5 linked regions of the Mus musculus genome follow. The protein of the gene in region 1 interacts with the protein of each later gene in a pairwise test. Links are inferred from orthologs where the notes say so. Each region holds a gene or a part of one and is shown in the gene's direction. Other genes may lie near its edges.

The links. The genes of interacting proteins can lie anywhere in the genome.
Region 2: the proteins of Zgpat (region 1) and Ccdc33 interact in a two-hybrid assay, tested with the Homo sapiens proteins (2 studies listed by BioGRID). The two-hybrid records come from large-scale screens. The link is inferred for Mus musculus from reciprocal best matches to the Homo sapiens genes ZGPAT and CCDC33.
Region 3: the proteins of Zgpat (region 1) and Dhx15 interact in binary tests that used the Homo sapiens proteins (3 or more experiments, as listed by UniProt). The two-hybrid records come from large-scale screens. The link is inferred for Mus musculus from reciprocal best matches to the Homo sapiens genes ZGPAT and DHX15.
Region 4: the proteins of Zgpat (region 1) and Ldoc1 interact in binary tests that used the Homo sapiens proteins (3 or more experiments, as listed by UniProt). The two-hybrid records come from large-scale screens. The link is inferred for Mus musculus from reciprocal best matches to the Homo sapiens genes ZGPAT and LDOC1.
Region 5: the proteins of Zgpat (region 1) and Ccdc57 interact in binary tests that used the Homo sapiens proteins (3 or more experiments, as listed by UniProt). The two-hybrid records come from large-scale screens. The link is inferred for Mus musculus from reciprocal best matches to the Homo sapiens genes ZGPAT and CCDC57.

The regions. Positions count from the first base shown.
Region 1 is NC_000068.7:181,363,520-181,368,450, forward strand, and holds the start of Zgpat (zinc finger CCCH-type with G patch domain-containing protein), read left to right. Parts: upstream 1-1,903; 5' UTR 1,904-2,152; coding exon 2,153-2,733; intron 2,734-4,931. Other genes in the region: Arfrp1 (ADP-ribosylation factor-related protein 1), read right to left, coding at 495-577, 792-879, 1,086-1,178. UniProt on the Homo sapiens protein: Transcription repressor that specifically binds the 5'-GGAG[GA]A[GA]A-3' consensus sequence. Represses transcription by recruiting the chromatin multiprotein complex NuRD to target promoters.
Region 2 is NC_000075.6:58,115,429-58,120,190, reverse strand, and holds the start of Ccdc33 (coiled-coil domain-containing protein 33), read left to right. Parts: upstream 1-1,367; 5' UTR 1,368-1,446; coding exon 1,447-1,756; intron 1,757-2,559; coding exon 2,560-2,888; intron 2,889-2,984; coding exon of another isoform or gene 2,985-2,987; coding exon 2,988-3,104; intron 3,105-4,762.
Region 3 is NC_000071.6:52,187,152-52,192,058, reverse strand, and holds the start of Dhx15 (pre-mRNA-splicing factor ATP-dependent RNA helicase DHX15), read left to right. Parts: upstream 1-1,512; 5' UTR 1,513-1,708; coding exon 1,709-1,779; intron 1,780-4,907.
Region 4 is NC_000086.7:61,708,279-61,712,045, forward strand, and holds Ldoc1 (protein LDOC1), read left to right. Parts: upstream 1-1,332; 5' UTR 1,333-1,431; coding exon 1,432-1,887; 3' UTR 1,888-2,672; downstream 2,673-3,767. UniProt on the Homo sapiens protein: May have an important role in the development and/or progression of some cancers.
Region 5 is NC_000077.6:120,929,478-120,934,330, reverse strand, and holds the start of Ccdc57 (coiled-coil domain-containing protein 57), read left to right. Parts: upstream 1-1,458; 5' UTR 1,459-1,615; intron 1,616-4,853. UniProt on the Homo sapiens protein: Pleiotropic regulator of centriole duplication, mitosis, and ciliogenesis. Critical interface between centrosome and microtubule-mediated cellular processes. Centriole duplication protein required for recruitment of CEP63, CEP152, and PLK4 to the centrosome.

The DNA.
Region 1 (4,931 bases):
TTTTACCAGAGTGAGACAGAAAGCAACTTGGGAACCTGGGATAGGATCCAAGAAAAAACCTTTAGACAGAGCCATGTGTATGATAAGCAGGTAAAAGTGGTTGCTACACAAGCCTGATAATCCGAGTTTGATCCTTGGAACCCACATTAAGGTGAGAAAAACAGTCTACAAATTAGCCCCGTCGCCCACACGCATGCTGTGACACGCACCCCTCCCCCAATAAAAATAACTTAAAACCCGGCAGTGGTGGCACACGCCTTTAATCCCAGCACTTGGGAGGCAGAGGCAGGCAGATTTCTGAGTTCAAGGCCAGCCTGGTCTACAGAGTGAGTTCCAGGACAGCCAGGGCTACACAGAGAAACCCTGTCTCGAAAAACCAGAAAAACTTAAAAAAAAAAATTAGAAAATCTTTGGGGTAAATGTGGAACTCTCACAGAAAAGACTATGAGGGGCCATCTAGAGAAAAACAGGATCAAACAGGTAATGTGTCTTACCTTGTCCCACAAAGACTGCAGCTCTTCCTGCCCACCTAAGTCCCAAAACATGAGACGAGCCTTTCCCACGTCCACAGTGCCAACTGGAAAGAGTACAGAAAGAGCTAGCTCCTGACCTTTACACACAAGGTTCCAGCTCTCCCCAGGATGGGACAAACCATTCTGGTACCAATCCTAGGGAACTTGAACACAGAATAGAAAGACAGGGTTTTGACCACTGGTCAGCTGGGTTGTGGACCTTACAGCATCCATCTCTAAGGGACCTCCTAAGATCATATCCCTAAGGTGCCCCCTTACTGTTTAGACCCACGGTAGTGGTGATTTTGGATAGACTCATCCCCTTGTAGTTCTTGTTAAAGCGTGTTTTTGACTGTTCCAGGAAAGTCTGAGGAAAAAAAGAGAGGGGGTTAGATAGCAGCAGCTAGAGTAGTTTTCTGGTGTCCTTCCCACCTATCCCTTCACACCCATGCAGCCATGCACGCCTCTGCCTGTGGCTTGATCTTCAGGAGGCTGGTGACTACTAACCTGTAGCCTTGGGGCGGGGGTTAGATCAGGCAGGGAATGGGAACTGGTGAGAGAGCAGGGACCTACCGTCTTCCCAGCATTGTCCAGGCCCAGGATCAGGATGCAGTATTCATCCTTCTGGAACATGTACTTGTACAATCCCGAAAGCAGCGTGTACATCCTGTTCTGGCACCCTGAGAGATGTCAATGTGTGTACCGGGGGCATCGGCCTCCTGCCCTGCCCGCTTCATCAGCGGTCCGCCTCTCCTGCTAGTTTTCAAATGTGTAGCCTCGCGGATCCTGACTCTTCGCCCCCATCCCGCCTCTTCTGTTAAAATCCCTGACCCTGATTCCCCCGATGCCATCGCTGACCACGTGCTAGACCTGGGCCACTCCCACTTAATGTCATCTTTCATAATGCACCATCAATTCGGAGTCCTGAAAAGCCCGTGGCGGCCTGCTCTGCTCCGCCTTCCTAAGGCTCCTCTTTCCGAACCCTCAACTCAGAACCAGGAAACGCGGCCGGCGACTTAAGTCTAGGAAGCGACCAGAGAGGCAGAGCTCCTGAGGAGGGTCGGCTTCGGCTTCCCGCCGCCGCCGGGCCCACGGAGCCTGGGAACCAGCAGCTGAAGCCACTTCCGTCCCCCTGTTCCAGGACTTTAGAACCCCGGCCCCTCAGTCCAGCTGAGGCCCACCCGTACCTGCTCAGATCTTGGAGGAGGAGCCGCCGCCGCCGCCGCCGCCGCCGCCGCGTTCCTAACCCCACCGACCTCACGCTGACCCCTCACAGTGCCTGACGGAACAAGGAGCGAAGGACGGAGCACGGGCGGAATCGCATCCCAGCGGCCCCCGCGCGCAGGTACTTCCGGCAGCTTCGGCTCTCCGGCGGAAGTGCCCGGCGGAGGGCAGAAGGCTAGCGCGTGAGCTTGGCTGGCGAGGGCGGAAGCCCTTCTAGCCTGCGAGCGCCGGCCGGAGGTGGGGTTGCGGGCCGCAGAGGACGGGGCGGGTGACGTGCAGGTCCCCCTCGGCGGAACCGCGGCCCTCCTCAGGCTCCCTAGCGGTTTTGGGGGCGGCGTTGCCCTGAGTTGTTCTTACTGCTCTTCCTCCTGTTTTTGTCTGCGGTAAAGGTTCCGAATCCTGCCTGCTGGGTCGGGATGGACGAGGACAACCTAGAGACTGCCCTGCAGACCTACCGGGCCCAGCTGCAGCAGGTAGAGCTGGCGCTCGGTGCTGGCCTAGACGCTTCTGAGCAGGCGGACCTGCGTCAGCTGCAGGGCGATCTAAAGGAGCTGATTGAGCTCACCGAGGCCAGCCTGTTGTCGGTCAGAAAGAGCAAGCTGCTGTCTACAGTGGACCAGGAGAGCCCAGCTCAAGAGGATGCTGAGTACCTGGCTTTCCAGAAGGCCATTGCGGAGGAAGTGGAAGCGCCCGGCGCCCCCTGCAATGACTCGGAGACGGCCCCTGGGAGCGAGGTGCAGCCGGGATCCACCTCCTCTGCACTGGAGGAGGAGGAGGAGGACCCAGATCTGGAGGAACTGAGCGGTGCTAAAGTGAATGCCCCCTACTACAGCGCTTGGGGCACGCTGGAGTATCACAACGCTATGGTAGTGGGCGCCGAAGAGGCGGAGGATGGTTCTGCGTGCGTCCGAGTCCTCTACCTATACCCTACCCACAAGTCCCTGAAGCCCTGTCCGTTCTTCCTGGAGGGAAAGTGCCGGTTCAAGGAGAACTGCAGGTAAAACCCTCTGCTGCTAGCAATGAAGGGCACGCAGTCGGGACCACCGCTGTGGCCTGTCGCCACAACTAGTTTGGCACCCAGCAGAGTTGGTAATAGAGTCCAAACCTTAGGTGACTGACAGGCTTTTACAGAAGTGTTCTCCGTGTGTTTACTTAGATTTTTCTTGCATACATCAAGAAGTTTGAAAGAGCTTATGTTGAAAAGATAGGGCAATCCTTCATCAATATTCTTCTCCAAGGTGTAAAACTTTTTTTTTCCCCTTTGAGATAGCAGTGTAGTAACTCTCGATGTCCTTGAATTCTTGATCCGTCAGCAACTCTACTACATCCTGAACGCCTTCAGTTTCCAAATGCTAGGATTACAGGTGGAGGCCACCACTTCTACTGGGCTACATCTCCAGCTCGGAACCTTTTTTCTTTTTTTCTCTTTTTAAAAATTTATTGACTATGCTGAGGATGGAATTAGGGCCTCCAGCACACCAGGCAACCAACTACTGTACACCTTAGCCCCATCCCAGCTCCTGTAGTTTGCATAGTCTTACAGAAAATTTCAAACACATAATCTCTTGCTGACTTGCCCTACCTTCCCCCCCACCCCCCGTGCTACTTGAAAGCACCTTTCACAAGTTACATCTTTTTCTCTCACCCTCAAATACTTCAGAATGTAGCTGAAATAATAATTACTAAAACTGATTTATGTCTTTTTTTTTTTTTAACTCAGTCATCCAGAATAACCCTCTAGTACTTTGAATTTATTTATTTTAGGCCACTAAAATAAAAAGATTTGTTCTATTATAATGGTAGTAGTGAACTAAAATTAGTTTCACTTGGCAGGATTTTAGGCAGGGCTAGAGCCTTGGAAGTCTGAGGGCAGAATCCAGAACCCATTTCTTTGTCCATTTTTCTTTAAGGTTGTTATTATTATTTTATTTTGATTTTTAAAAAAATATATTTTAAAGATTTATTTATTTTGCTGGGCATTGGTGGCGCACACCTTTGATCCCAGCACTTGGGAGGCAGAGGCAAGCAGATTTCTGAGTTCGAGGACAGCCTGGTCTACAGAGTGAGTTCCAGGACAGCCAGGGCTACACAGAAAAACCCTGTCTGGAAAAACCAAAAAAAAAAAAAAAATTATTTATGTATGTGAGCACACTGTTGCTCTCTTCAGACACATGAGAGGAGGGCATCAGCTCTCATTGCAGATGGTTGTGAGCCACCATGTGGTTGCTGGGAATTGAACTCAATACCTCTGGAAGAGCAGTCAGTGCTCTTAACCACTGAGCCATCCCTCCAGCCCCTTATTTTGACTTATTTATTTTTTACTTTTTTAATGTTTTTCTCTAAAGATCCATCGGTTGCTTTTGTCTCATTTTGTTTTGGTAAGGTGGTTTGATACATGGTCTCTATGTAATCCTGGCTGTCCTGGACTACATACAGCTATGAAAGGCCTTGGCTGGCCTTGAACTCACTACCGAAAGGCTGGGATTAAAAGTTTGCACCATGGCCTGACTATTTTAGGCTTTTTTGAGACAGAGTTTCTCTAGTAGTCCTGGTGGATTTCCTGGAACTTACTATATAGATCTGGCTAGCCTGGAACTCAGAGGCATGCACTACCATTTCTGGCTAAGATATATTTTTAGTTAGTGTGTTTGTGTGTGTGTGTGTGTGTACGTGTGTACGTGTGTACGTGTGTACAGGTGCCAGAAGAGGGTATAGGATCTCCTAGAGCTGGCGTTCCAGGTGGTGGTGGTGACCTGCCGAACATAGATCCTGGAAAACAAACTCAGGACTTCTACAAGAGCAGTATCCTCTCAGCCACTGAGCCATTTCTCTAGCTCTATGTATTTACATTTATCTTTAGATTGCGGTGGGGGTGGGGCATGTGTACAGGTAGGTGCCCAAGAAAGCTAGAAGAAGGTGTTGGATCTCCTAAAGCTGGAATTGCTCACAGAAAACATTAACCACTGAGCTCTCTCTCCAGTCCCCAGAGACCACCCATATTCCCTGTTTTGTGGCATCCTCGAATCACTTTAGGCTCTTCTTTCCATGTTACATCTGTACTCTGCAAGTCTTATTTCTCTACTTTTTCTTTAGGATAAGGTCTCATGCAGCTCAGGCTGGCCATGTATAGCCCTTCCTATATAGCCAAGGATGACTTTGAACTCTTAATCTTCTTGACTTCACTTCCTGCTTATA
Region 2 (4,762 bases), on another chromosome or scaffold:
TATATATAAAAGAGACTTGCTCAAGTTCTGCTTGTAATGCCATCTCTAGTAGCTAGATAATATATAAACAGCAGTGGGAAAATAAAATTTGTTCATTCTTAAAGGGAACCCAGAGTCTTGTGTCTCTTTCTACCATTATTCTTCTTTCCTGTACTTCCCAAGACTGTGCTGGACACAGTAGGTAGTGATGGTGGCGGCGTGGTGGTGATAGTAGTGGCAGCAGACTTAGTCTCTTTTGAATAGTGTCTAGGATCCTCTGATTTCCATTGAAACCCAGGACAAAGAAGCACAGACTCTAGACTGACAACCTAGCTTTGAGAGGCCAAGTTCTCTGTAAAGCTGTATGTCTTGTATAAGGTAAGCTGGTTGCAGAAGCAGACATGGACCATATATTCCCTTACCCTGGAGACCTCTCCCATATCCATACTAAGGACTCCCAGGTAGAGACAGGTTCCCCAGAAATGGAGAGTTCTGAATACCACATACTCATGTGCCCCCAATTTTCTATAGAATGTATGAAGTAGATCATCTCTTAGCACACTTGAGAATTTGGTTGTGTGTGTATGTGTTTGTGTGTGTGTGTGCATGCATGCATACATGCTGTGTGTATGGTTTAAGGATTTATATATGTTATGAGTACAAATGTGTGTACAAGTACACATGTGTATGTGTTTGTATCTGTGTGTATGTTTGTGTGTACAGGTACACATGTGTGCATGCTTGTGTGTGTGTGTTTGTGTGTACAGGTACACCTGTGTGCATGTTTATGTATGTGTGTTTGTGTGCACACATACACATGTGTGTGTTTGTATGTACAGGTACATGTGTGTGTGTGTGCATGTAGATACCAGAGGTCAACCTCAGATGTTATTCCTCAGGACTCTTACTTTTTTTAAGACAGGAACTTACTGATTCTCCTAGATGGACTTCCTGCCTGGGCCTTCCCAGGACTAAAATGATAAGCATAGCATACACAACCATTCCTAGTTTCCATGGGTCCTGGGAATCAAACTCAGGTTCTCATGCTTGTGCATCAAGTACATTACTGACCGAGTCCCAGCCCTGATCATTCATTTTCCATATTTCTTGTTTATCTTTGTCTTCTCTACCCATTACCTTCACTAGAAGACAGGCTTCAGGAGGGCAGGAATGTGTCTATTTCACTGCTATATTCAAAATGCCCAAGACAGCACCTCATATACAGTAGGTTCTCAATAAATATTTACTGAGAGATCAAATGCTAAATGGGAAGAATTAATTGATGCCTTTGTTCCCCAGTTCAGGCTCAGTTTCCTGGCTTGTTGCCTGGATCCTTCTCAAACAAACAGAGAAGGGTGAGGTGTGGCCCCAAGTGCCTAATCTGTCTTCTTTCCGACTGGACCCAGGATGGGACTGTGAGCAGGAGAGGGCAGGGCTCAGCCTGGAGTTCTGACCCTGGCTGAAGCCATGGCCTTTAGAGGTCCTGATCCCTACCTCCCTGCATCCCTGCTGAGCCAGCGACTGAAGGCTGGAGAGAAGACACTGGACCTGGAGTTTGAGATCTTGAGTGTGGGATTTAATGAGGAGGGCCGGTACGCCCTGAGGCTGTCAGCTGAAAACCCACTGCAGGCAGGCTCCAGTGCTGGGGTGCAGTTGCAAGTCAATGATGGGGACCCCCTTCCAGCCTGCTCAGCTGTCACTGAGGTCATTGAGCAGCAGGATCCTGGCCAGAGCCTCACCTTCACCAGGAACAAATTTATCTTCACTCTGCCCAAAGGTACAAAGTGAAGTCAAGGGTTGGGGGGGAAGCAGGATCTTTGGGACTTCTGCCCTAGAGCTGATCAGGACCCTGGGGGACTGCAAGGGACCTGGACAGCCAGAGGCAGAGCTCCAGCCTTAATTCTAAGCTCTGCCTGTGTGACTATGTGGCCTTGGGCAAACGCTGGTCCTGTAAGGTTCCTGCTTCCTTCAGCGTGGCATGGATGCTGAAACTGTTCTCATAGAGGGCAAAGGTGAAGAGGAACTAAAGGGGGATGTGAATTTGATAGAGACAAAGCCCACAGCATGTTTAGACCTAGGCAGTGAACGGTACATGGATGAAGTGATGCTAGAAGCCCCCTGAGTTCCTTCTGATTGTAGGGATAGAGACTGGACAGACATGAATGGATAGAAGATCCTGGTCTTACTTTCTGGGAGCTTCCAGACTGGGTACAAAGAGGCAGGAATTTTAAGTCAAAACTAGCTAAGTAATCTAGAAGATCCAGGCTTAGACAGAGGACTTACCAGACAACAGTCCTGGTGTATATCCCAGGCTAAGGTTAGCCAAACTCTTCCCTGGTGTCAGAACCCAGAACAATTCCATGGGCTATAGGCCTCCTCACTCTGGTGGGGTCACATGAGGCATAGGTAAACCAAAGGAGTCTTGAGTGAGGGCTGAGAGGAGTCAGCCACAAGGGAATTCTTAGCCGAGCTCACTTGGATTCAGTTCAAGTTGCCCCAGGGCCCTGGATGTCCTTCTCACCCCTTGGAGAAGGGAGGGAGATCCTAAAGACCACATTTAAAGCCATGTTCTCCACCCAGGGTTCTGTAAGAATGATGGGCAGAGTGATGCACATCTGCGTGTGGAGGCTCTGAGGCTGGATGGATCCTCAGGACAGGAGGCTCAGAGGGTAGGTGAGGCCATCTTCCCCATTTACCCACGACCAGATGAGCCCCGAATGAACCTCACAGCACAGGATCATGAAGACCTGTACCGCTATTGTGGCAACCTGGCTCTTCTCCGAGCCAGCGAGGACCCCACAGCCCGCCACTGTGGGGGCCTGGCTTACAGTGTGGCCTTCCATGTGCACAGGGACCCTAGGTCCTCTGTCTCAGACTGTCAACTGGAACCCAGCCAACCAGAGCTACAGGTAGGTGCTCCTGGGTCCCAGTTCAGGACACAGCCTTTGATGAAACTGGCTGTCTGCAGCCCTACAGTCCCCAACCTCAATCTCCTACGTTCTCAGCAGACTTCGAGGGAGGCCCTGAGTGACAAGATAGAAGAATCTTATATGAGCCCATTCAGCACTGACAGTGACCAGGAGGGGCTCAGCTGGGAAGCAGGACCCTGGCAGCATCCGGCTCAGGTGAGGGGCACCAGCCCTTCTGTGGGAGGGTTCCCTACTACGTTCTCTCTCATTTAGGCATCACATCCAATTGAGAACTCACAGAGCAAGCAGTAGTTCATTGCACAGATGGAGAAAACACACCTCAGGATTCTAGGTTCCACGAAATGTCAACAGTTACTGGAAACCTCAGGACATACATAGTAGCGTGTGGTACCCAATGCCAGGACAGCCACTAAGTATGGAATGTCACTAGAGCCAATACATTTGGATAAAATATTGGTATTACACACAGTCCTTGACACTGTCATGAAGGCTCTGAAAGGGGTCAGGGTGTAAGCCCAGGACAGGCTTTCTCAGAAGATGTGTCATTTTGAAAGGGCTCTTTGCTTCCTTCCTCACTCATTTACGGGCTCCTCCATCCTGTATTTGTCTTTCAGACTAGGTGAGTGAGGTTTACGGGTAGCAATTTGGAGAAGGTTCCATGGGTGAGGTCTAGTATAAGCTAGCAAAGAGAAGAAGGTGGCTCAGTCAGCGGGCAGCAGAGGGACGAGTTGAGATGGAGCTCAGAGCTTGCTCTCTCTCCCTCCCCCCTCTCCCTCTGCCTTCTCTCTCCCTCCACCCCCCTCTCCCTCTCTCTCTAGCTCCTCCCCGCCCACACACTTTTCTTGCCTGGCACTGAGTAGAGGCAGGGAGGGAAACTGAGTTAGGTCATGGAGAGGTTCAATAGGGAAAGAAGTGGGAGGAGCTGAAGCTATCCTGGCACCGAGCAGAGGGAGGTATTCAATTCTGGAGGCAAAAGGTGAGGTGTGGGAGGGGCCTGTAAGGACAGGATTGTATGCAAAGTAAGCAGGCAGCATGTGACAGGGACCCAGAAGCAATGCTCTCATCCAGGCCTCTAACATGGCCCACTCTGACCTTTGTCCATTCATTTCTCAATCAATGAACACACCTTTCTGACCTACTCCTGTGCTCAGCCCCAATCCGTTCTGGAGGCTAAGTGTATGGACGAGATGGACAGTCTAGGTGAGGCTGAAACTCCCTGTGCTCCTAGCCTGGGCCCAGCTCCTCTGTCTAATGCTATCATCTAGGGACAGACACTCTGGAGGAGGTCAAGAACTCAGGAACTGTCCCTGCTCTTTGGGTCTCCCTGGCCTGGCCAGCCTGAGGCACATGGATGTGGATGGTGTACTCAGGCTACAGTGTAAAATGGGTGAAAGGAGGTTGGGAACTGCTGCGGGGAGGAGGGCTGGCGCGATGGCTGCAGTCGACCTCAGCAGCTCTAATTTCTGTTATTTAAAGCTATCATCTCTGCGCCATACTCCCTCTTAAAGTGTCAGATGTCTGCTTCTACCGAGACAAGAAAATAGCTTTCAGGGGAGAGGAAAATCACACCCCTTAGGGGGGATGGGAGGGGTCAGCAATCACAGCCCTGATGGCAGTGCCAGAGCCACAGACAATGGAGGCTTCCCTGTGAACAAGGGAAGGGTGCTTGTAGTTAGACAGACTCAGCCCAGCAGCTCAGGCTAAGGAGAGCAAGCTCCTGTCCCTATAGATACCTGGGGGCGGTGGCAGGACACAAAGGGCTAGTGGGGCTCTATTGCTCTTTGGACCTGTATCCTGGAACTATAGGAGCCCCAGCAGTCATATTGTCTCCCTGCCTTGTGGATAGGGACAGG
Region 3 (4,907 bases), on another chromosome or scaffold:
GTCTAGGAACTATAACAAGGAATACAACTGACAGGGGTGGAATTCTTCAGTAATGTAGGTACCTGAAAGATGCTCACAGGACTTTTCAGTGGCTCGTGTGTGTGTGTGTGTGTGTGTGTGTGTGCGCTCGAGTGCATGTGGGGGGGGGGGGAGGAGGGGGGAGAGGGAAGGAGTGAGGGAGGGAGAAAGACAGAGAGAGTCACTATATAGTTCTGGCTGTCCTGGAACTCACTACGTAAAACAAACTGACTCTGAACTCATAGAAATCTGCTTGGCTCTGCCCTCAGGAGTGCTGGGATTAAAGGTACTCACTACCATATCTAGCCTAACAGGTTGTCAATGTACATTTAGACAGTTGTGTTGGATATTGTGAAAGTTACAATATCATCTGTTGTGTTTCTGTTGTATTTAATCTTAGAGATTATCCTTCTGAGAATTTTCGAGGGACTAGAGCCAAGGAGCAGCAAAGGAGAGTCTTGACATGAAGTGATACCCTGTATTTGGGCTGATCCTTAGACCTCTTTCGCCCACACTTCTGGAAATGAATGTAATTGAGTATGCACAATGGCTGAAGGGAGAAAGATACACAACCTCTTAAGTGTCACCTTGCCTCAACAACTTGCCATTACAGTGGAGTCTTAATGGATGAGCTATTTGTTGATTTCCTTCAGTCCAGGTAACCATGTCTATAAAATGTCTTTCAGGGTTCACTCTACTAAGGAGCACAGCAACTAGGCATGCTGGGGCACGCCTTTAGTCCCAGCACTGGGAGGCAGAGACAGCCTAACCTCTGAATTCCAGGCTAGCCTCTTCTACAGAGCTTGTTTGTGGACAGCCAGAGCCACACAGAGAAACCCTGTCTCAAAAAACCAAACCAAACCAAACCAAACGAGGACAGAGATAGGGCTAATGTCTCTGAGTGCCTAATATGCACTCATATACACACAAACGGAGCAAGATTAGGGCAGAGGATTGGAGGCAAAATACAGTGCCCAGTGCGATTACCTCCAATTTTCTGAACCCTATACAAAACACCTATACCTTGAACAAATAGATGTTATCTGTTCTGGGGTGAATGGACAAAACGAGTCACAGTAATTAAAGTTAACATTTTTTCTCACCGCTACAGGGCATCTGGCGCAACAACTGCAAATTCTCGTTCTGGAGTTATAAATTGTGTCCTGCTTTGCCACTTGCCAGCTGTGTGATCTTGTTTTTCTTATCCTTCCTGAGCTTCATACCCTAAAAGCAAAAAGTATATACACAGCTGGATAGATTTCCTAAACAGGACTAGGCTTTTTCAACTTTCCCAACGAACTCCAGGCGGCAAGTGACAGCTTGAGGCGCGTTTCGGTCCTTAGCAGCAGCTCAGATCAGCTCTCAGAGAGACGCGAGGGGAAAGGGAGGAGCCCGCGGGAACTCAGAGCCATTTCAGCCAATCGCACAGCGGGCGGGACGGGAGTTCCCGCCTCCGGACGGCGTGCGCGCGCACCACGCCGGCACGCCCGCCGCGGAGGCGCGCACGCAGGCCCTGCCCTCGTCGCGGCCGCCATTTTAGCTCCTGGTTCGGGCCGCACGGAGCGGGCTGTGGTGGCGGGAGGGGTGGGGGTCCCCGCGAGTTGAGCCGCGGGCCTCTTGTGCGTGGATCCGGCTGCCGGAGTCTCTCTTCTTCCCTCCTTCCTAAGCGTCCGCTTCTGGGAGTGCGAGGATGTCCAAGAGGCATCGGTTGGACCTGGGGGAGGATTACCCCTCCGGCAAGAAGCGTGCGGGGACCGATGGGTAAGCCAGGCCGGGGCGCGCAGTCGCGGCTCGGGCTTTGTTGGATGGTGGCGGGGAGCAGGCCCGGCTGCCGAGCCTTTGTCTGCCGTCGGCCGGCTGGGGCGCGTGCCGAGTGTGTGCGGCCGGGGCGAGCGGCCTGTGGCGGCCACGAGGCCGCGGAACGGCGGGCGTGCGGAGCGGGCCGCGAGGCCTCGGTGCTCGCGTGAGGCCCGCAGCCGGAACCGGATGGCCAAGGGCACTGCCCCCGTGGGCGGCGGCGGGCGCTGTCTGTTTTGGGGGAGGATAGAGGCGAGCCGACCTCGGGGCGCACTGTTTGGCGGGAGACGAAGGGCCTTCTTCCATTGAGGCACTTCAGGAGAGGCCGTTGCCAACTTCCGCCCTCTGCCTGCCCTCCCGCCATCTCCTTTATTTCCTGCTTTGCTTAAAAGCCGGCTTTGCTTTTAAGTAGCATCACTGGGGTAGGCCTGTGAAAACACGTATTTCCCCCTCCGCTCTGGAAGTTATTTCTATCTCCTCCCCACTTTGGACGCACTTTTCAAAAAAGTGATCTTAAGCGTGTTTGAACAAACAACACCCACGTGCAGATTGAGAAAGGCTTACACCGATTCCTGGTCTGGCATTTTAGTTCCTTTTCTTAGACTTTTCGCAAAGACAGGGCATTTAGCAAGTAAGCAGTTGTATTATCATTTTCCAGTCTTTTCTTTCACAGTTCATACTTAAAATGTACTTTTGTTTATATTCCTACCCTCCCATTTTAATTAGTTGTATGTTTATGCTTCGGCAGTACAGGGATCTGTTGGGTTAATTAAAAAATATATCCACGGAAGTCCAAATGTCCAAAACAGTTGTAGGATTTTATCATTTTCTTATGTCTTGTGACACCGACTCGCTGTCAAGTCAGATGTGTGGTCTCTTGAGTTTTTGTTAACGGAAAGTCCTTTGGGATTGATTTCTAACTACCAGTGTGAGAATAGGTCAGGATAGGATGCGTTCTGTCGCTCTCCTTAGGTTGAAATATTGAATACGGAAAGCAGGTTTGTTATGTTTTGATTGTGTAGGTTTTTTTTTTTAAAGCTTATAACACTAAGCATTGTAATAATAAAACATCCCAAGACAGCTGTTCTCTCAAGCAAACATTCCAAATGTTAGTAATTGAGCTCCATCAGTTCTTAGGTAGAAACAGCTCATGAATATTCTCCAAGGGAGAGCAAAGTTGCAGTGAGCTTTTTCCATAGATTATAGTGGTATGTAGAATTCTCCTTTTCTCAACAGGAAACTTAGTACTGTAGTTAGGCATCACAACCTGTCATAAATGGCATTTATATTGGATTGATAAAGTGGGGAACTTCTGTGAAGTTAAAGTTAATGTCACATTTGGCTAAGATGCAACTAATTTCTCTCCTTATAGAGGTCACATTGGGATGAACACTGAGTTTGTGCAAGCAGAGTTTTTTTGTGTGTATGTTCACGACTCAATGCTTTTATTGCAATTGGGGCTCCACATTACAGTGATTATGGTCATTTCTCTTGCAAAACATACAACATTGGCAAAATGGACTTTGCGTATATCGCGGGTAGCTTCATGTTTCCTCTGAATATTTCATATTTGTCACTAAGTACAGGAGAGTCCTTGATTTCTAGAGATTCTGCAAGGCAGTTTTTGCAGTTTCCTAAGTTTTTTGAGTACCTTTTCTTATAGAACTGGTTTTCTTTAGCAATACAGTATTTGTGCTTGGTATTTTTTTTTTTTTCCTTACTTGATTTGAAGGCACTTTTGACTGCCAGGGACTCTTTGCTTCCCTCCCTCCCCCTCTTTGCTCTTGTTTAGTGTATTTGACAGCATAGGCTTGTTCATTTTGTCACCCCAGCTGTCACCAGACCTTGCTGTCTCCATTCCAGCACGTGTGGGTGGGGGTGGGGGTGGAGGGGCGGCCAGGAGAAGAAACCACGGAGTCAGTTACCTCCTCTTGACCATGATGGCCTCAGGGGTCAACCCAGTTTTTCAGTCTGAGCCATCTCACCAGCTCCCAAGAAATCTGGGAAGGACATTTTTATCCTAATGGTTCTTAATATTCCTGATAAGAATTTGTAATTATGTGTTTCACTACAATCCCGTGGTAGCTGAAATTAAATAATAAGATGATAAGATGCAAAGGGCAAGAAATTTTCACACATAAATGTATAAAGAAAAAAGCAGTAAGCTACTACAAATCATTATTTCCATCTTTGGAGTCCATACTTATTCCTAAATACAAAATGTAATATCAGTGAGCTCTTGGGATTTGGGTCCCATTGGCTGTGTAGTACAGTAGTTGTCTCTTGTCTTGCTCATTGGTGTTAAGTGCTTTCCTCGAATTTTCTGTAGATGAAAGTATGAGTATCCTTATGTATGCACGTTAATGCACATGCTTAGAAGTTCCCAAAGTGAGACTGTCAGAAAAAAAGTAGTTTATATAAAATATCTAGAGTAGATGACTAGTTTCCATACTTACTAGCAGTATATTAGTGCCTATTATTATTCCAAGTACAATTTAAACTGAAACATCAGTAGTAACCAGTGTTTGTTGGTACATTTCAGATATTCCAGGCATTATTACATGTATTATCTTATTAAATGTTTTTAGTTCCATCTTAAAAGCCACAGCTTGCATGTGAGCAAGAAAACATTGTTCTTAATAATTGTCAGTGTTGACTAAAGTGCTGTTTAAAGCACTTTTCCTTCCTTCCTTCCTTCCTTCCTTCCTTCCTTCCTTCCTTACTTCCTAAAAAGAGACAGCATCTCTCTACTACTGCGTAGCCCTGGCTATTAGAAACTCACTATGTAAACCAGGCTGGCCTCCAGCATAAGCAAGAGATCAGCCTGCCTCTGCCTCCTGAGTGCTGGGAGTAAAGGCATGTAACCATCACACTGAGATTGTTTTTAGTTTCTTTAAAGTTAAAAGCATTGCTTCAACTTGAAAATTTTTATGAACAAAACTTTTATAGTTAAAGTTTCCATTTAAACAAGAAAATGTGTATATGGTCATGTCTATAATGTATACAATGTGGAGAGGCCATGGATCCTCATCTAACAGACCTTTTGTATCATCATCATTCAGAGTAGCCAGTGTGAACTGCAGCAGCGTTCC
Region 4 (3,767 bases), on another chromosome or scaffold:
GACATTCTTTTTTCTTTTTTATTAAATTTATTTATTTTTTTCACTTTACATCTCAATATCAACCCGCTCCTCTCCTCCCAGTGTCCCCTCTCCTAGGTCTTTCCTCCATTCCACCTTCTCTTCTCTTTTGAGAATAAAAATCCTCACAAAATAACATCCTCCTCCACACACACACACCCAACAAGTCAAACCCTCTCCAAATGAGGACAGACAAGCCAAACCATTTAGAGTAACTGGGTCCTCAAGCAGGCAGGCAGCAGACACAGGGACAGCCCTTGCTCCAGTTGTTGGGGAACCTCCAAGAAGACCAAGCTGCACATCTGCTACATGTGTGCAGGAAGGCCTAGGTCCAGCCTGTGCTTTCTCTTTGGTTGGTGTTTGCAAATCTTGTTAACAAAATTGCTTGTCAAAGAGAAGTCTTTTGTTGCATACTATTTATTTATTTAATGAAAGTGAGTCTACCTGTGAGTCTTTTAGACTTGGAACCCAAATGACCTCCTGCACGGTGGCCCACAGAGTCAGCGTTATTTCTCCGAGTGAGATTTAAATGAGCAAGGAAATGTGTTAACCAACCAGACACTCCTCACCCCCAGAGCTTCCAGGGACTAAACCACCGACCAAAGAGTATACATGGAGGGACCCATGGCTCCAGACGCATATGTAGCAGAGGATGGCCTTGTCAGGCATCAAAAGGAGGAGAGACCCTTGGTCCTGTGAAGGCTGGAGACCGCAGTGTAGGGAAATTCGAGGGAGGGGAGATGGGAGTGGGTGGGTGGGTGGAGGAACACCCTCATAGAAGCAGGGGGAGAGGAGGATGGGATAGGGAGTTTTGAGGGGAGGGAGGCGGGAACGGGGATACCATTTGAAATGTAAATAAAGAAATATCCAATAAAAAGTAAAAAAAGAAAAAAAAATGTGTTAAGAAAGGATCACTTTAAAGAAGCTGATGGCCACAGACCCACAAAGGAACACTGAATTAGATGAACAGGCTGCCTGCAGAAAAGTTTCAGCTGGAGCAGGCCAGCCCTGAGGGCTGAGCATCTGTTCTCCACTGTGGCAAGCTTTGCTCCCTCAGCCTTCCTACTTCCAGGTGGAAGAACTGGCGGGACCCCGCAGCGAAGCTCCTGGGTCACGCCCTGCTCCTCCTCAGCCACATCCACTCTGGCCACCAGTCCCACCCTGACCACGCCCCCACGCCATCCCGCACCCTTCCCAGCCACACCTTCCTTACCGCACTGCGCTAGCGCACAGGTTTGTAAAGTGACCCTGTGGGTGGAGTTTCTGCCGCTGGCTGGGACCCCTCCATTTATTGCCCAGGGTCCGCACTCCTCTGAGGACCCGCACTTCCTGCTCAGCCTCTCTGTGCAGCTCCGTGGAGCCGATCCGAGACTGAGACCGAGACCGAGACCGAGACCGTCCAAGCAGTTAACCATGGTGGAAGAGCTGCTGTCGCTTCTGCACGCGCTTCTGGATAGGCACCAAGCCCTGTGCATGGAGAACCACCAGCTCCTGAAGCAGCTGCGACTGTTGGTGTGTGAGCGGGCCAGGCTGCTGCGCCAGGTATGTCCACCGAGCTGTCCGGTGCCCTACCCCTCACGGTTTAGCGGCGAGAGTGGTCGGCTCCCTGAGTTTATCATGCAGACCATGTCTTACATGCTTGCGAATGAGGAGCACTTCTGCAATGATGCCATGAAAGTGGCATTCTTGATCAGCCTCCTCTCCGGGGAAGCTGAGGAGTGGGTGATGCCTTACATCGAGTCAAATAGCTACGTCCTCGGTGATTATCAGGCCTTTGTTGATGAGATGAAGCAGTATTTTGGCTGGGGTACCGACGACGAAGATGATGGTGATGATGATGAAGAGGAAGAAATGGAGGAAGATCACTAGGCCGGAGCCCCCTTAGGCCTAGAGGTGGGGGCCTTCACGCCTTTTCATTCCAACCCCCCACCCGCCATTCCTGCTGCCTCAATCTCTCCCTTTGCATGGCCATCCTCTTCCCCGCCAGTCTGTTTGCTCCATCATTCCCTTCAGGACTTGTCTTTGTTCCAGTTACCTGCTGTGAGTTGGGCCTGGACCTTGCTCTGAAACTCACTTTGGCCTCAGGCACTTATCCTAATCTGAACTCTGTTCGGAGTTCCAGCGATTTTCCAGGTCCCTATTAGAACTGGTCAGACCACCTGCATTCCTGCTGCTGACATCCACTGGAACTCAGGCCAGTCCGCCATCTGCCCAGAAGCAGATTCCTGACATTTCACCTCCACTCACCGAATTTCATCTGAAGCACTTTTCAAGATAAGGACCAAGAAGATGATGGAGTTGCTACTCCACCCATTCAGACTCTGTTTTGGACTACTCACCAAACCTTGAAGGGGCCAGCCAGTCTTTACCGACTGGTTAGTTCTGTACGTACTACCAGGTTCCACATCTGCCTGACCAGAACAGGAACCTGATGTGCCTGCCGGACAGTTAAAATGTTGACATGTCTTTTCTCCTATGCATCAGTTTTGCACAGCACGTTTCCTTTCAGAACTGCAGCAGCCTCACAGATGTGTCCATGTGGACAAGGACTACTAAAATAAAAGCAAACGGACAGGCATTCAGCCCAGATCCTCTCTAGTACTTGAAAAAAGCAATGTAATTCTTTGCAATAAATATCAAGCACTGCAAAACTAGCAGCAAACTGTTGTCTTTTCATGGTTAAGTGCTACCATTGGCTATTGTGACTCACCTCCATTATTTCATTGTGGTTGGGGAACTTGGTTCAATCCCAGTATTCTCACTTTCATTTTTGGGCTCCAGGGGGCCCTGTCATAGGGTTTTAAAAGCTGTGGTGAAGGAGCATTGTCTGGGGCTTCCAAGGTGACATATAAAGGGTGGCTGGGTAGGGGGGCTATCATCTTAAATTAGGTCACTTTGGAGAAATAAAGGGACATTATTAACATTTAGACTGACAGTAGAGGCATATTACTGGGCACAGTGAAGTTTCCTAACATGGCAGAGAAGTTTTATCCATTGTCCTTCTTTCCTGTGGGTGGCAATTAGCAAGATGCTTATGTCTCCTGAGCTAGAACCTGGACTGGAGTTTGTGAGTTGACATCTCTCAGACAGTCCAGAGGGTAGGTACTGAGAATTATCTGCCCAGCTTTGTTTGTGTGTCAGTCCATTATGTTACCCTGCTGAAATGAACTTGGTAAAGGGGTATACACGGTAACCAGGAAATATTGGAAAGATCTAGGGTTTCCTGAATCTGCCTGAATGTCATTTTACTGGTTTAAAAGCGAATTCAGACATAGAACTTTTAATTAATTTAAATAATACATCGTGGTTTAAGAGTTTCAGGCATGACCACACTTATTTATTAAGCTGCTAAACCTCAGGGAGGAATGAAATGGGGGGCGCTGGTCATCATATGAGTAACCTGACAGGTGTGGGCTAGATCCTGTCCACAGGCATTTGGAGCAATGCCAGCTACATTTTTAGCACCCTATAAGCATGGGTAGTTCCTTCCAGGCCATAGCAGCAAAGGCTCAGCTAGCAGCATGCTTGCTTGAGGACTGGCTGTAATAGGAATATGTCAAGGTTACCAGGAACTAAGTAGAGTGGAAATAAAACTGTGACAGGGGCCCATTCTCTTTGGGGCTCTTACAAGATACCAGCAAGACAAGTGTTTTATCTGGTAAATACACAAAGATCAGAGCGGGAGTCTTTTTCAGGCCTCAGGACACTTACTTTCTTGAGAGTGGAGACAGATGGGGGTAGGGAAGACT
Region 5 (4,853 bases), on another chromosome or scaffold:
AAACAAGGAAAGAAATTAGATTCAGGAATCTCTATCCCACTCTCTCCCCCCATCCTTCTTTCTCTCCTATCTGGTGATGGTGGGGTGAAACAGGGGTGGGAAAAAGAACCACAAAGTAGCAAAGACCAACTACAGGAAGCTCCTGTGACAGAGTGAGGCAGAGACAAGGGGTGTGAACATACTTGTGGAATGGGGCTGACCCTTGGACCCCTCAATTAAGGCAAGGGTTTTACATTTGACAGCAAAGAACTGGCAGTTGAGGTTACCTCACTTTCTAATAGAACAGAAGGCCCCTAGAAGTTCAGGGGACTCCCTGGCTGAGAAGAAGGCTACAAAGACAAGCTGGTTGGGGGAAGGTTCAAACACCAAGCATTTGCTGTCAGGAAGTGGGGACAGCAAGTTGAGGGAAAGAGACTGACGGGTAGAGGAAGACGGCAGGATATAGGACAGGAAAGTAGGAATGACTAGACTTCTTGATACTGCCCTCCTGGAGGAGGGGATTCCCAGACACTCCCCATCCCCTAGGAATTATGCTGGTTTAGGTGTGTATGCCAGTTCCAGGACCAGGCCACAGTTTAACTTCTTCAGTATAAAGAGATAAGAATACCATTCTTTTTATTATTTGTGACTGTGTGAACGTGCAGACCATAACATATGGGGGATAGGGAAGACTCATGGGAATTGGTTCTCTCCTTCCATTCTGTGGGTCCCAGAGTGTGAATCAGGTCATCAGACTGACACATCCACAGAGCCATCTCCCTGGCCCTCAGATGACCTAAGGATTTAAAGAAAGACAAAGGCGAGCCTACAACGAATTCCTGGGGCTCATGCAGGCCCTTCCCAGCAACCAGCCCCATTCCATCCAACTCTTCTTAGTCCAGGACACGCTCCATGAAAGCTGGGGTCTTGGAGGATCATTCACCTTTTGATGCTTGGGGTTTCAGACCAAATCGTGGATGGACTTCTTGTGACTGCGCCTTACCCAGGGCTCTGAAAGAGGATCAACTTCTTCACTTAGCCCTCTCCGCCTGGCGACATGCCCTAGGTGCAACCTCCACCCACTCTTGCCATGTGCACCCTTGTTACAGTCTCATGTGCAGTCTACAAAGGGAAAACCTGAGTCCCAGAATAACTTCCCACCCACGACTTGCAGGTTCCATCCCTGAGCTCCCAGTCCCTCCGCCTACAGGCACCTCCTGCTAAGCTGAAGTTAGCCCTTTGGGACTCCAGAATGGGCACCTTGGGGACCCTCAGGACAGCTGGGGGAGGGCACAGGGCCCCGTAGGTGTAGGTCCTTGCTCACTGGCTCGCACTACTCAGGGAGTCTGCTAGGCCACGGAACCCCAAGCGTCTCTTCCTTCGGTACCAGCGCACAGGTCGGAACTCTTTTGTGTTGAGACTCCTGTTTCTGCCCGGCGGGATCGGAGCGCCGCTCAGGGTGCACCGGGACCAAGGTTACTGACTCCAGTCGCTATGGTAACGTGGCCCGCGCTGTAGGTTCGGGCGGGAGAGTGCTGGCGCTCGGAATCCTGGAGACCCGGGTCCCAGCTGGCGCAGCTCTAGGTCGCACGCGGGAGACGAAGCTAATTCCGCTGGGACCGTCCTGGCACACGCGGTGAGTGGACGGTCATCGCATCAGGTTCTTGCTCCCCTGTAGCTTTCTTTGACTCAGACTCCCAAACGCCTACCTCGTGATTAGCCACACGCGCTTCACAGCGCTTCAGTCCCTCACTGACTTCATTAGTCCATTATCTTGTAGACTACTTGTCATCCTGGCTTGGCCCGATATTTTACACAATTAAGTTACACATTTTAAACAAGAAAATGGCGCGCTCGTGCCTCCCAGAAGGCAAACGCCCCATTACTGGGGAATACTTTCGTCGCCAAGGTTTGAGTGGTTTAAGTGGTGGCTGCCAAGGGGCTAACATAAAGTTATTATTTTCTACTCGGCATGGTGGCACATGCTTTAAAATCCCAGGATTTGGGGGCAGAGGCAGGCGGATTTCTGTTATTTCGAGGCCGGCCTGGTCTGCATAGTTCCAGGACAGCCAGAGCTATGTAGAGACTCTGTCTTAAAATCTAAATAAATAACAAGGTTTCTGTTTTCTTTCCTTTTTTTTTTAAGATTTATTTATTTATTATATGTAAGTACACTGCAGCTGTCTTCAGACACATTAGAAGAGGGCATCAGATCCTACTACAGATGGTTGTGAGCCACTATGTGGTTGCTGGGATTTGAACTCAGGACCTTTAGAAGAGCAGTCGGGTGCTCTTACCCACTGAGCCATCTCACCAGCCCCCAGGTTTCTATTTTCTTATTGTAAATAATAAACACCATTTGGGGAGGTGCTTGACTGTGTAAAAGTCTTGCTTTTAACCATATTTTCAGCTACTAATTTTAGCATACGTCAGTGAAAGCTTCCTGATTTTTTTTTTTCTTTTGATTTCATGTTTTATTCTTGCTATGTTGGGTGCAGAAAAAGAATCACAAGTTAACTGAATCAAAGGCCATTCAGACCATTCGGACTGAAGTGGGATCCAGTTTCCAGCAGTCTTTATTTAGAATCGGCATCAGTGTAGGTTTCAATCACTGCTCTGGCAGCTGGGGCCCAGGGAGAGCTGCAGGAAACAAGAACAGGCTGTATTCTCCAGGGCTCCTGCCTGGGTACAGGTCGGTCCTCCCTGGGAATAGCAGGTGGAGGATAACAGCGACTCCAAGGGATGGGCTAGTCATGAAGAGATGGAGATCATTGATGTCCCCACAGGGAGGACCTCAGAGGTCACTGCCCTTCCACCTGTATCCTGGAATCTTTTATGAAACTGCTCCATGAGAACCAGGCAGGAATTTCATTGGCTTCAGGAATAGTCCAGTATAAGCCCACTGTCTTAGTCACTGTTCTGTTGCTATGAAGAGACGCCATGACCAAAGCAACTCTTATAAAAGAAAGCATTTAACTAGGGGCTGGTGTACAGCTTCAGAGGCTTAGTCCATTATCATCATGGCAGCAAGCATGGTACTTGGTAGCTGACAGCTACACCCTAATCTAGAGACAGGACAGACTGAGACAGCCTGGCGTGGGCTTCTGAAACCTCAAAGCCCACCCTAGTGACACACACTTCCTCCTATAAGGCCACACCTCCTAATCCTTCTAATCTTTACAAACAGTTCCACTCCCTGGTGACTAAGCATTCAAATACATAAGCCTATGGGAACCATTCTTTTTTTGTTTGTTTTTGTTTTTCGAGACAGGGTTTCTCTGTATAGCCCTGGCTGTCCTGGAACTCACTCTGTAGACCAGGCTGGCCTCGAACTCAGAAATCCACCTGCCTCTGCCTCCCGAGTGCTGGGATTAAAGGCATGTGCCACCAAGCCCGGCTTCTTGTCTCTTCTTAAGCACCCACATAATTCCAGTAATTTCACTCTGAAGAACCACCATGTCTATTCTGACTCCTGGATTTTCTTTTTACTGGAGCCACAAGGTCTCATTTGAAGCTGGCAGAGAATCAGCACTTACACTGCCTGATGTGGAGTCAGATAGCCGTGCTTAAGTGTGGTGACCTCTTTCTGTCTCTGGCAGCTTCAGTCCTGAAGGAATTCTATATGTGATATCTGTCAAATATTTTTCTATTTCCGTTACTCCTACATTGATTAGCTGGCACTTTGTTGTAAAACAGAGTCTTTCCTTATAATTTTTTCCATTAGTTAATTTAGTCACATCTTGGTTGCTGCCCCTCTCCCTCCGTCCACTCTCCCCTGTTAAGGCCTGGGTGACTGTTGCCTATCCAGCCAGCCATTTTGTGCTGTTATTAATGTTATAGGGAAACTTTGTCCTGCTCTAGTTGATCTCATATTCTGCTATGTTCTACGCTTTGGTGTTCTGGGAAACCGGCAGAGGTCGGTTAGAACTGCTTTGTATAAGCTTGCACCCGAACTGCCAGCAGCTCTTCCTGAATCTATATATGAACTTTTATGGTTTCTTGTCTTTGTAAGTTGCCCTGGGATAGACCCCAACGTAAGAAAGACAACTGCACCAATATAATAAGCCATTTGGATTAAAACTTTCATTTTGAGTGGGAGTTGAATAAAGTTTAAGTTCCTCCCTGGGAACCGACATCCTGCTTGGCAGAAACAGACATGTACGTGGGTAACTGACTTCCTGCTTGGTAAGTTAAGACATGGATATTAGGCAAGTCAAGTTGCCCAGCCACAGTTGACTGACTACCCCAACCAATGGGAGCAGGATAAGGATACAAAAAAGACATGTTCCTAAGGAAATCCCCTATTCCTAAATCCCGATTGGTGGAATAACTTGGCACAGATATTTGTGGATTTCAAGGCTTAAAGGCTCTGTAAAATCCTAGCTCCAGGTCTCAACTAGCTCCTGTGTTAGTCACATCATGATTGATCAGGCCTGGGGTGAATGCTCAATAAACTATCCCTGCCTGACTGAGATCGGTGTTTGTGTGGTTTGTGAGGTGACTCCTGGACCCCAGCACTCCCCTCACAACACTCTGGAAGGCAGAGGTAGAGGCAGAAGAGCTCTGTAAGTTCCAGGCCAGTATGGTCTGCATAGAGTTTGTCTCAGAAAGAAAGAAAGAAAGAAAGAAAGAAAGAAAGAAAGAAAGAAAGAAGGGAGGGAGGGAGGGAGGGAGGGAGGGAGGGAGGGAGGGAGGGAGAGAGAGAGAGAGAGAGAGAGAGGTGTGAAAGAAAGGGAAGGAAGGAAGAAGGAAGGAAGCAGAAGACTGAATAGTCTTTAAGCCAGCCGTCCTGTGTCTGTTACCAGGTGGTGGTGGAGCACATTTTTAATTGTAGCACTCAGAAGGCAGAGACCGGCAGATCTCTGAGTTTGAGA